Rattus norvegicus: one gene and its partner. The protein of the gene in region 1 purifies or fractionates together with the protein of each later gene. This does not show direct contact. Links are inferred from orthologs where the notes say so. Each region holds a gene or a part of one and is shown on either strand. Other genes may lie near its edges.

Region 1 (4,421 bases):
GCAGGGTGAGCACTAGCCGTTCAATCATATCACAACCCTCATTTTCATACATGCAGTTAAAAAAGGACACGCCTATAAAAGTAAACAAGTTAAATTTTTATAGGAAAGTGACCAAAACCCAAACCACCCCAAAATACTGCAACACAGTTGAGATGAGGCCAGCGGCCACATCAATCTTACCCAGACATTTTTTTTTTCTTTTTTCTTTTTTTCGGAGCTGGGGACCGAACCCAGGGCCTTGCGCTTCCTAGGCAAGCGCTCTACCGCTGAGCTAAATCCCCAACCCAGACACCTTTTATTTTTTTTAAAAGATTTATTTATTTATCATATACAAGTACACTGTAGCTGTCTTCAGACATACCAGAAGAGGGTATCAGATCTCTTTACAGATGGTTGTGAGCCACCACGTGGTTGCTGGGAATTGAACTCAGGACCTCTGGAAGAGCAGTCCATGCTCTTAACCTCTGAGCCATCTCTCCAGCCCCCAGACACCTTTAAAAAAAAAGATTTTCTTATTTATTTTATGTATGTGAGTACACTGTCACTGTCTTCAGACACACCAGAAGAGGGCATCAGATCTCATTACAGATGAGATGCGAGCCACTATGTGGTTTCCGGGAATTGAACTCAGGACCCTTAGGAAAGCAGTCAGTGTTCTTAACCACTGAGCCACCTCTTCAGCCTACCCAGCCACTTTTTTTGACAACTGTTATTTAAAACTCTGTGTGTTGTGTGTGTACGCGCGCGCCTGCCACGGAGCGTTTAGGATCAGAGACAAACTGTGAGAGGCATTTCTTGCTGTCCACCTTGTGAATTTACGGGGTTCGAACTCATGCGGTCAGACTTGACGTCAATCGTACGCAGCCGCTGAGCCATCTCACCAGCCCAGCGGCTCTTATTTTGCACACGAAACGCTCCTCTCTATGGCACCAGCTTGGGTCTATCCCCACACTGATCTCAGTGGCTCCAGGTTCCGAAGTGTCAAATTTGGGCTACTATTTGACCTTTGACTCCGCCCCCAAGGCCGTTAAGAACAAGCAGTGGCTAGATCACTTTAGGTATCCAGGAGTCCCTTTCTTCCCCCCACCCCCACCCCCCGCACCATGCCTCCAGTCGCGGCTGTTCCCAGAGGACGTTGACGCGCGTGAACTCTAACCCGAGGCACGAAACTCCGAGGTCACCACCGGCAGCCCAGAGATTTCGCTGGCCAGTCGCACTTGCCGACGGGCGTCTAGGACAGCCACTTACAGATAAGATCCCGCCCACACACACCAACCAACTGCCGAGGGGCGGGGCTTGAAGCCACAGCCCACGGCCGCTCCCTTACAGTCACTTGCTTACTCCAACTCCCATTGACCGGCGTCTGAGACTACCAATGAGAATGTAGATCACGCCTTCACAAGTGGAACCCGAGCTGTCCAATGTCAGCTCGGGTGCCCACCCAGATCCAAATAGTCCAATCCGCGTTGGTGATTGCGGCGGGTTCGAGGGGTGGGGTTTAAAGCTACAGCCAACTGCCGCGCACGTCGGCTCCGCGAGGGGGCGTGTCCACCGTTGAGACGTGCGACGACGGCGCGGCGCAGGGCGGTAAACAAGATGGCGGCGGCGTGTCGGTCTAGGAAAGGGGAGGCGGCTCACAGCGCCCGCGAGTGAGGCGCGAGCCTCCGAGGGCGGTGTCGGCGTGGAGTTTTCTCTCGCGGACAGCATCTTTCTGCCTGAAGTTCGACTCCCCCCTCGCCGCTCCGGCCTCCTGCCTGTCACGCGGCGGCTAGGCGGCGAGGGGGACGCGCCGCCCCGGGTGGTTTTCTCCCCCCATTGGTCCCCCGAAGATTTCCTGTCCCGACTTCGTGCCCGCGACTTGTGGGTGTCCCGCGTCCGGGTGGAGTTTGCGCACCGAGAAGTCGTGGAACTAAGGGAACTAAGGGGCCGCGCGCGGCGTCGGCGCGGGCCGGACATGGACGGAGCGGACCGTCCTCGACGCGGCCGCCTGGGCCCCTGAGCGCGGGGCCCAAGTGGCGACCATGACCTAGCGGCCCGCGCGCCGCGACGGCGGACCGTCGCCTCCGTCGGAAGCAGCGTCCCCGGGGACCCGAATTAGGGGGACGCGAGGGTTGGGGGGGCTCATTGCTTTTTTTTTTTTTATTCTTATTTTCATTTTTTTTCTCCCTGAGCACCTAGAAGAAAAGGGGAAAATCAAAAGTGAAGAATTGGCGCCCAGGAAACGGACGTGGACCCGGTTGTGGGGACCGGGAGGGTTGTGGAGGTCGTTCCTTCCCCCCCCCCCATTCCTTTTTTTCCCCTTCTTGAACATTTGGAAGAAGCGGGTGGGGGAAATTTGAACTTGAAAAGAATTGGCGCTCCCGAAGGGGACGAGGACAAAGAGTGGGCCAGGATGGACGTGGCTGACCCCCAGCCGTTGGGCCTGTTCCCCGAGGGCGAGCTAATGTCGGTGGGCATGGACACCTTCATCCACCGCATCGACTCCACCGAGGTGATCTACCAGCCGCGCCGCAAGCGCGCCAAGCTCATCGGCAAGTACCTGATGGGGGACCTGCTCGGGGAGGGCTCGTACGGCAAGGTGAAGGAGGTGCTGGACTCCGAGACCTTATGCCGCAGGGCGGTCAAGATCCTCAAGAAGAAAAAGCTGCGCAGGATCCCCAATGGCGAGGCCAACGTCAAGAAGTAGGTGCCAAGGGCCTGGGGCCGACGTGGGTGCTGCTGCCTTGAACTCCTTGGGCAGCCCTTCCTCCACTTTTTGGCTCTTCACTTTCCTCTAACCTTCGTTCCCTTCTCTTTTCCTCCCCTTTCCTTTCACTATCTTATCTACCCAATCTCTCCCTGAGCGTCACCTCGGGGGTCTGTGTGCTGGGGCAGCCGGTAGGACTGTCCTAGCGGGAGGTCGTGTGGCCGACTGTGCCTCCAGCCCTCCTCTTTGGGCCAGGTCCTGGCTCAAGTCAGGCCTGCCTTCTTTGGCGGGCGTTGCCAGGCGGGTGGCTCGTTTGTTTACACAGAGGGAACCGGCAGGGCCAAAAATAATGGTGATTTGGGGTGAAAGGGGGTGGGTAGCCAGCCAGTGCTGGCCCGGGCCCCTGCAATATCCTGCCTAGTTGGCATTGCTGGGCCGTGGGGACTCTTTATCGCCTGCCCGGCTTGGCGGAACTTGGGAAACTTCACCTACCGGCTTCCGAGAAGGGGCCTTATCTTTGGGGCCTGCATTGGCGACGCGCTGTCAAACTGACCTTGCCTGTGGTCCTGTCCCAGGAAAGGCTGTCTGGCAGCTTCTTGCTTTTGCCAGCTGTGCACTGTTCTGAGTGGTACCCACAGGAAGGCAGGCAGATACTCAGGAACCGATGTGTGGACCCAGCGGTGGAGCCAGGCGGGTGGGGGGTGTCCTCAGGATCTGCTTTGCCTTTTTTTTTTTTTTAAATATTTATTTATTTATTTATTTCATGTATGTGTGTACACTGTAGCTGTCTTCAGACACACCAGAGAAGGGCATCAGATCCCATTACAGGTGGTTGTGAGTCACCATGTGGTTGCTGGGATTTGAACTCGGGACCTCTGGAAGAGCAGTCAGTGCTCCTAACCGCTGAGCCATCTCTCCAGCCCGACTTTTTTTTTTTTTTTTTTTTTCCGGAGCTGGGGACGGAACCCAGGGCCTTGTGCTCGCTAGGCAAGCGCTCTACCGCTGAGCTAGATCCCCAGCCCCCCTGCTTTGCCTTCTTTGTAGGAGTGGTCCTAGGTTAGTCTTGCACTGGGGAACCGTGGGGACCCAGCGTCAGGTGTGCCTTCAGTGAGTTCGGAGGCCTGAGCTGGGGAAAACCTGGTTGGAAAATTTGTCTGTAAGATGGAGGTGCCATAGGCTGCTCCTCTCTGGGTGGTGACTGCTGACCTCCCAGGCAAGTGGCCGCTTTGGGGAAGTACAGCAGTGACAGTGTGGGCTTAGAGAGACGCTGGACACAGCCCACTGGACGTCAGTAGGGTGCTATAAGGAGCCTGCACTGTTCCTCAAGCCAGGAGTTGGTCTGGGCAAATGGGTACATGCAGTCGTCATAGTGCTAGAGAGACTGAGGGAGGAACATTGCTTCTGTTTGTAGACCAGCCAGATGCATGGGAAAACTTGGTTTCATGAGGAAAACGGGTTGGTAGGATGCTCAGTAGGTAAGTGCCCCAAAGTCTGGAAGGTGAAAGCAGACCCAGCTCCTACAAGTTTGCTTTGACCTCCATATGTGTGCTGTGGCACACACACACGTACACACACATGGGCAGGAAAGATAAAAGCCAGGAGGAGAAACTGAGGCAAAAGCTTCGGACTGGCAAACTGCCCTGCTCTGAGGTCCTTGAATGGCAGGACACAAAGCCAGGTGTTTCTAGGGGAGTGCTGGTGTTACCCACTGCCTGAGTGACTCGTGCAGTGGGAA
Region 2 (3,646 bases), on another chromosome or scaffold:
ATATTAAAAAAGTGTGCAAGTACGAAAAGCAAGCACACAAGGTAAGTGATGTGAACCATGGTAATAGTGGAGATGTCTGCACTCACCCAACAGCCTGAATGGCAGCGATCAAGATTTAAAGTGAATAAAAAAATAGGTATGACCAGGCTTTGTACTGTACACACGCCTTTAATCCCAGCACTTGGAAGCAAAGGCAGGCAGATCTCTGTGAGTTTGAGGCTAGACGGGTGTATCTACATGACTACATGAGTTCTAGGGTTCTAGACAGCCAGGGTTTTCGTAGAGAGGCCTTATTAAAACAAAACAAAACCACAAATAAACAACAATAATAATGAAGTAAAATAAAATTAAGTATATGCTATTGCTGTCATAAAAGTACTGTGGAAGAGGATGTAAGAAAAAAGATTAGGTGTCCAAAGTAGTCCACACCAGGAGACACTCCAGTCTAGTTCCAGGATGACCTACTCAAATTACAGAATATGGTGTAGCGTAATACAGATCAGGTTCACCTCCACGATATGCATTAAATAGGCAAAAGTAAGATACATGAAAATTCACATAGATTGGGATTTTGGGGGGCTTTTTTTTTTTAAAGAAAAGGGGTCTGTGTGTGTGTATCTGTGTGTGTGTATATCTGTGTGTGTGTGTGTATCTGTGTGTGTGTATCTGTGTGTGTGTATCTGTGTGTGTGTGTGTGCGTACGCGCGCGTGTGTATTCGCCTGTATGTGCAAAGTATCTGTAGAAGAAATGCACAAGAAAGTACTAACGTGTGTTTTCTCTGAAGAGAACTACCTCTTGCAATAATGAGGGAGATATCATCATATATCTCCAATTTGGGGAGTCTTTTGGATAAAATAAGTGAATAATGTTTTAAGACATAAAAAGTTGCCCATGTTTTCACACTTAAGTTCCATAATTTAACAGAAAATGACTTAAATTTCAAACATACATTGCTCCAACCATCACAATGATCCTGACACAGCTCAACCTTTACAGCACCACCCTCACCCACCATCTTCTGAGCAGGCCCAGAACAGCCTCACATCTCTGAGCATGCCGCTGCATACTCAAGCTTCATACCTGGCAGAGATCGGCGTGTACTGAGGTCAGCTGGTTTGTATTCATCTGCATCTTGTCTATGGCTTGCTTAAGGATGCCAATTCCTCGAAGGGGCTGTCAGAAATGACATCTCTTTCAGATAAGTTCTCAAAGTTGGCAGCACATTGGATCTTATGTTGTCACTTACAAATAAAAAACAACACTAATTGATAGGTTCCTTACATAGCAATAAGATTTCCACACTATGTCAGGAAATGTCTGCGTCTATTCAGTCACAAAACGCTTTGTTTCTTGGAATAGTTAAGATAATTTCAGTATCATACTTTAAATCAAAACTGTTTTCCCTCTGACAAGGACTATCACTAGTAAACCATTGCTTCCTTGAGGCTGGAGAGATGGCTCAGCTGGTGAGCGCTTGCCATGTAAGCACCAGGGTCGGAGTTCAGGCTCCAGACCCATGCACAGCAGATGTGGCAGTATGCACCCAGCATTCCAGGACTGAAGAGCCAGAGAGAGAGAGAGAGATCTCCGGCTGGCTGGCTAGTGGGGCTGGACAACCAAAGACCTTCAAGTTTGTCAGAGCCTCTGTCTCAAAAACAAGACAGAGAGTAAATTAAGACATCCAATGTCAGCCTGTGACCTCCACATACACTGAATGAGCACACATGTGCACACACATGTATACAAAACTAGAGTACTTTCCTAATTGTTAAGCAAAGATAATTTTTCTGTATCATTTACCACAAATTACTGCTGTGGATGACAGTGCTGCATGTTTTCACAGGGGAGTATTAGCCCTAAAGAGTAAATAGCCACTGACTCTATAAACACATGTCATAAGCCAACTGTCGTCTGCCTCCAATTACAAACAACAGCACTCAGCCTCAAGTAAAGCCTAACTCTGAAGATCAGAAGATAAAGCTATAAAATACCTACATAACTTTATAGCTTTGTCTGCTTTTGGGGGAATGGGTTCTTTGATATAGTTTTTCTGTGTAGGCTTAGCTGTCCTGGAACTCACTCTGTAGTCCAGGCTGGCCTCCAACTTATAGAGACCACCTGCCTCTGTCTCCCACGTGCTGGGATTAAAGGTGTGCACCACCACCACCTGGCTAATAGCTTTTTCAATAAAGAGGCTGGTAATAGCTCTCCTCTCAAAACTCAGAAGAGAGACAGTAGTATCTCCCATCCCCCATGACAGGGTATCATGTAGCCCAGTTTAATCTTGAATTAACATGTAGCCAAGGACGACCATGAACTCATAAACCTCCTGTCTCTATCTTCCAAGTGCTGGGATTACTCAGCTTTTTAAAAATATATTACATACATGTATGTATATGTATGTATGTATATACACACACACATATATTCATATATGTATAATCCATATGTGTGTATATGTATACATATATACATATACAAAGAAATGTATATGTATATATATGTTCTGCATGTATGTCTATGCACCACATGAGGGGGCCTGGTGCCCTTAGCCAGTGCTCTTAACCACTGAACCATCTCTTCAGCCCCACAACTTTTAATCAAATTATTTAGCTCCTAAAGAATAGGAAGGCTCTTTCTGCTTCTTCCTCTCACTTCCCAATCAAAAAGAAACAAACTATAATTTGTATCAGCATCACCAAAGGCAAAGTCTAAGAACGTTTGCAGGTGACAGAGAACTGAAGAGCAACATCAGTGTGTCCACCCACGCTCTGCCCTCTGCTTTCTGCAGAGACCATCAACCATCTACCTGGCCACACCTGGCCAGTCTGTGATTTCGTTGAGCATTATCTCAACATCCATTTCCAGGCTCTGCCCATCCTCCCTGTGGGCTACACGAGAACGTAGAAAGCACCCACTGAAGTATTTAGACGAGGAGGACACATCTACAGTTGACTTCCCAACAGTGAGGGAGGGAAGAAACAAGTGCTGTGAAACACTAACACTGGGAGAATCTAAGTCAAGAAAGAGCACATAAGACATCATCATAGGGAAGATCCTTTCAGCGTTCTATAAGGTGAAATCATCTTAATTAAAAAGCTGAAAGGGAAAAACAAGAAATAGCATCATGGTAACACAAAGGCACAGGTAGGTTTTTAGCTTTTTTCTTCCTCCAGTGCTGCGCATGGAACCACATACTTCATACATGCCAAGTAACTGCTCTACCACTGAGCCACACCTCCAGCCCAGACTTGCAGTTTCAAAACAACCAGGCACCTTCTGGGGGCCTCACATGTAGCAAAGGCTGCTCTCAAGGAAGCACACACATTTAAGTACTGAGATGCTGAGTACTGAACCTAGCCTTCTCTAGACTGGTTTGTCAGTCCAACACGCACTGCAGCAAACGTGAACGACTTGACTGTTTCTCACCTGTTTTCTCTCCACGAGTGCGTTTGTTAGCTGATGGCAAAGCCCAGCGACTAGATGCAAAGACAACAAAGACAATGACAAAATATTGAAAATATAAACACTGCAAAGAAAAGTTCATCCAGGAAAAGAGGAAGTATTATTAGCTTACACGTATCTGTTGCGTATCGAATGTGCTCGCCGTTACAAGTACTAATGAAAAGCTGCACCTGTGAGAAC

Evidence for each region.
Region 2: the proteins of Stk11 (region 1) and Cops3 purify together in Homo sapiens (affinity purification with mass spectrometry; 5 studies listed by BioGRID and IntAct, with this or other methods). This does not show direct contact. The link is inferred for Rattus norvegicus from reciprocal best matches to the Homo sapiens genes STK11 and COPS3.

What each region holds. Positions count from the first base shown.
Region 1 is NC_086025.1:10,239,115-10,243,535, reverse strand, and holds the start of Stk11 (serine/threonine-protein kinase STK11), read left to right. Parts: upstream 1-1,570; 5' UTR 1,571-2,392; coding exon 2,393-2,682; intron 2,683-4,421. UniProt on the Homo sapiens protein: Tumor suppressor serine/threonine-protein kinase that controls the activity of AMP-activated protein kinase (AMPK) family members, thereby playing a role in various processes such as cell metabolism, cell polarity, apoptosis and DNA damage response.
Region 2 is NC_086028.1:45,130,931-45,134,576, forward strand, and holds part of Cops3 (COP9 signalosome complex subunit 3), read right to left. Parts: coding exon 3,579-3,646; intron 3,481-3,578; coding exon 3,431-3,480; intron 1,243-3,430; exon of another isoform or gene 1,175-1,242; coding exon 1,082-1,174; intron 1-1,081. UniProt on the Homo sapiens protein: Component of the COP9 signalosome complex (CSN), a complex involved in various cellular and developmental processes.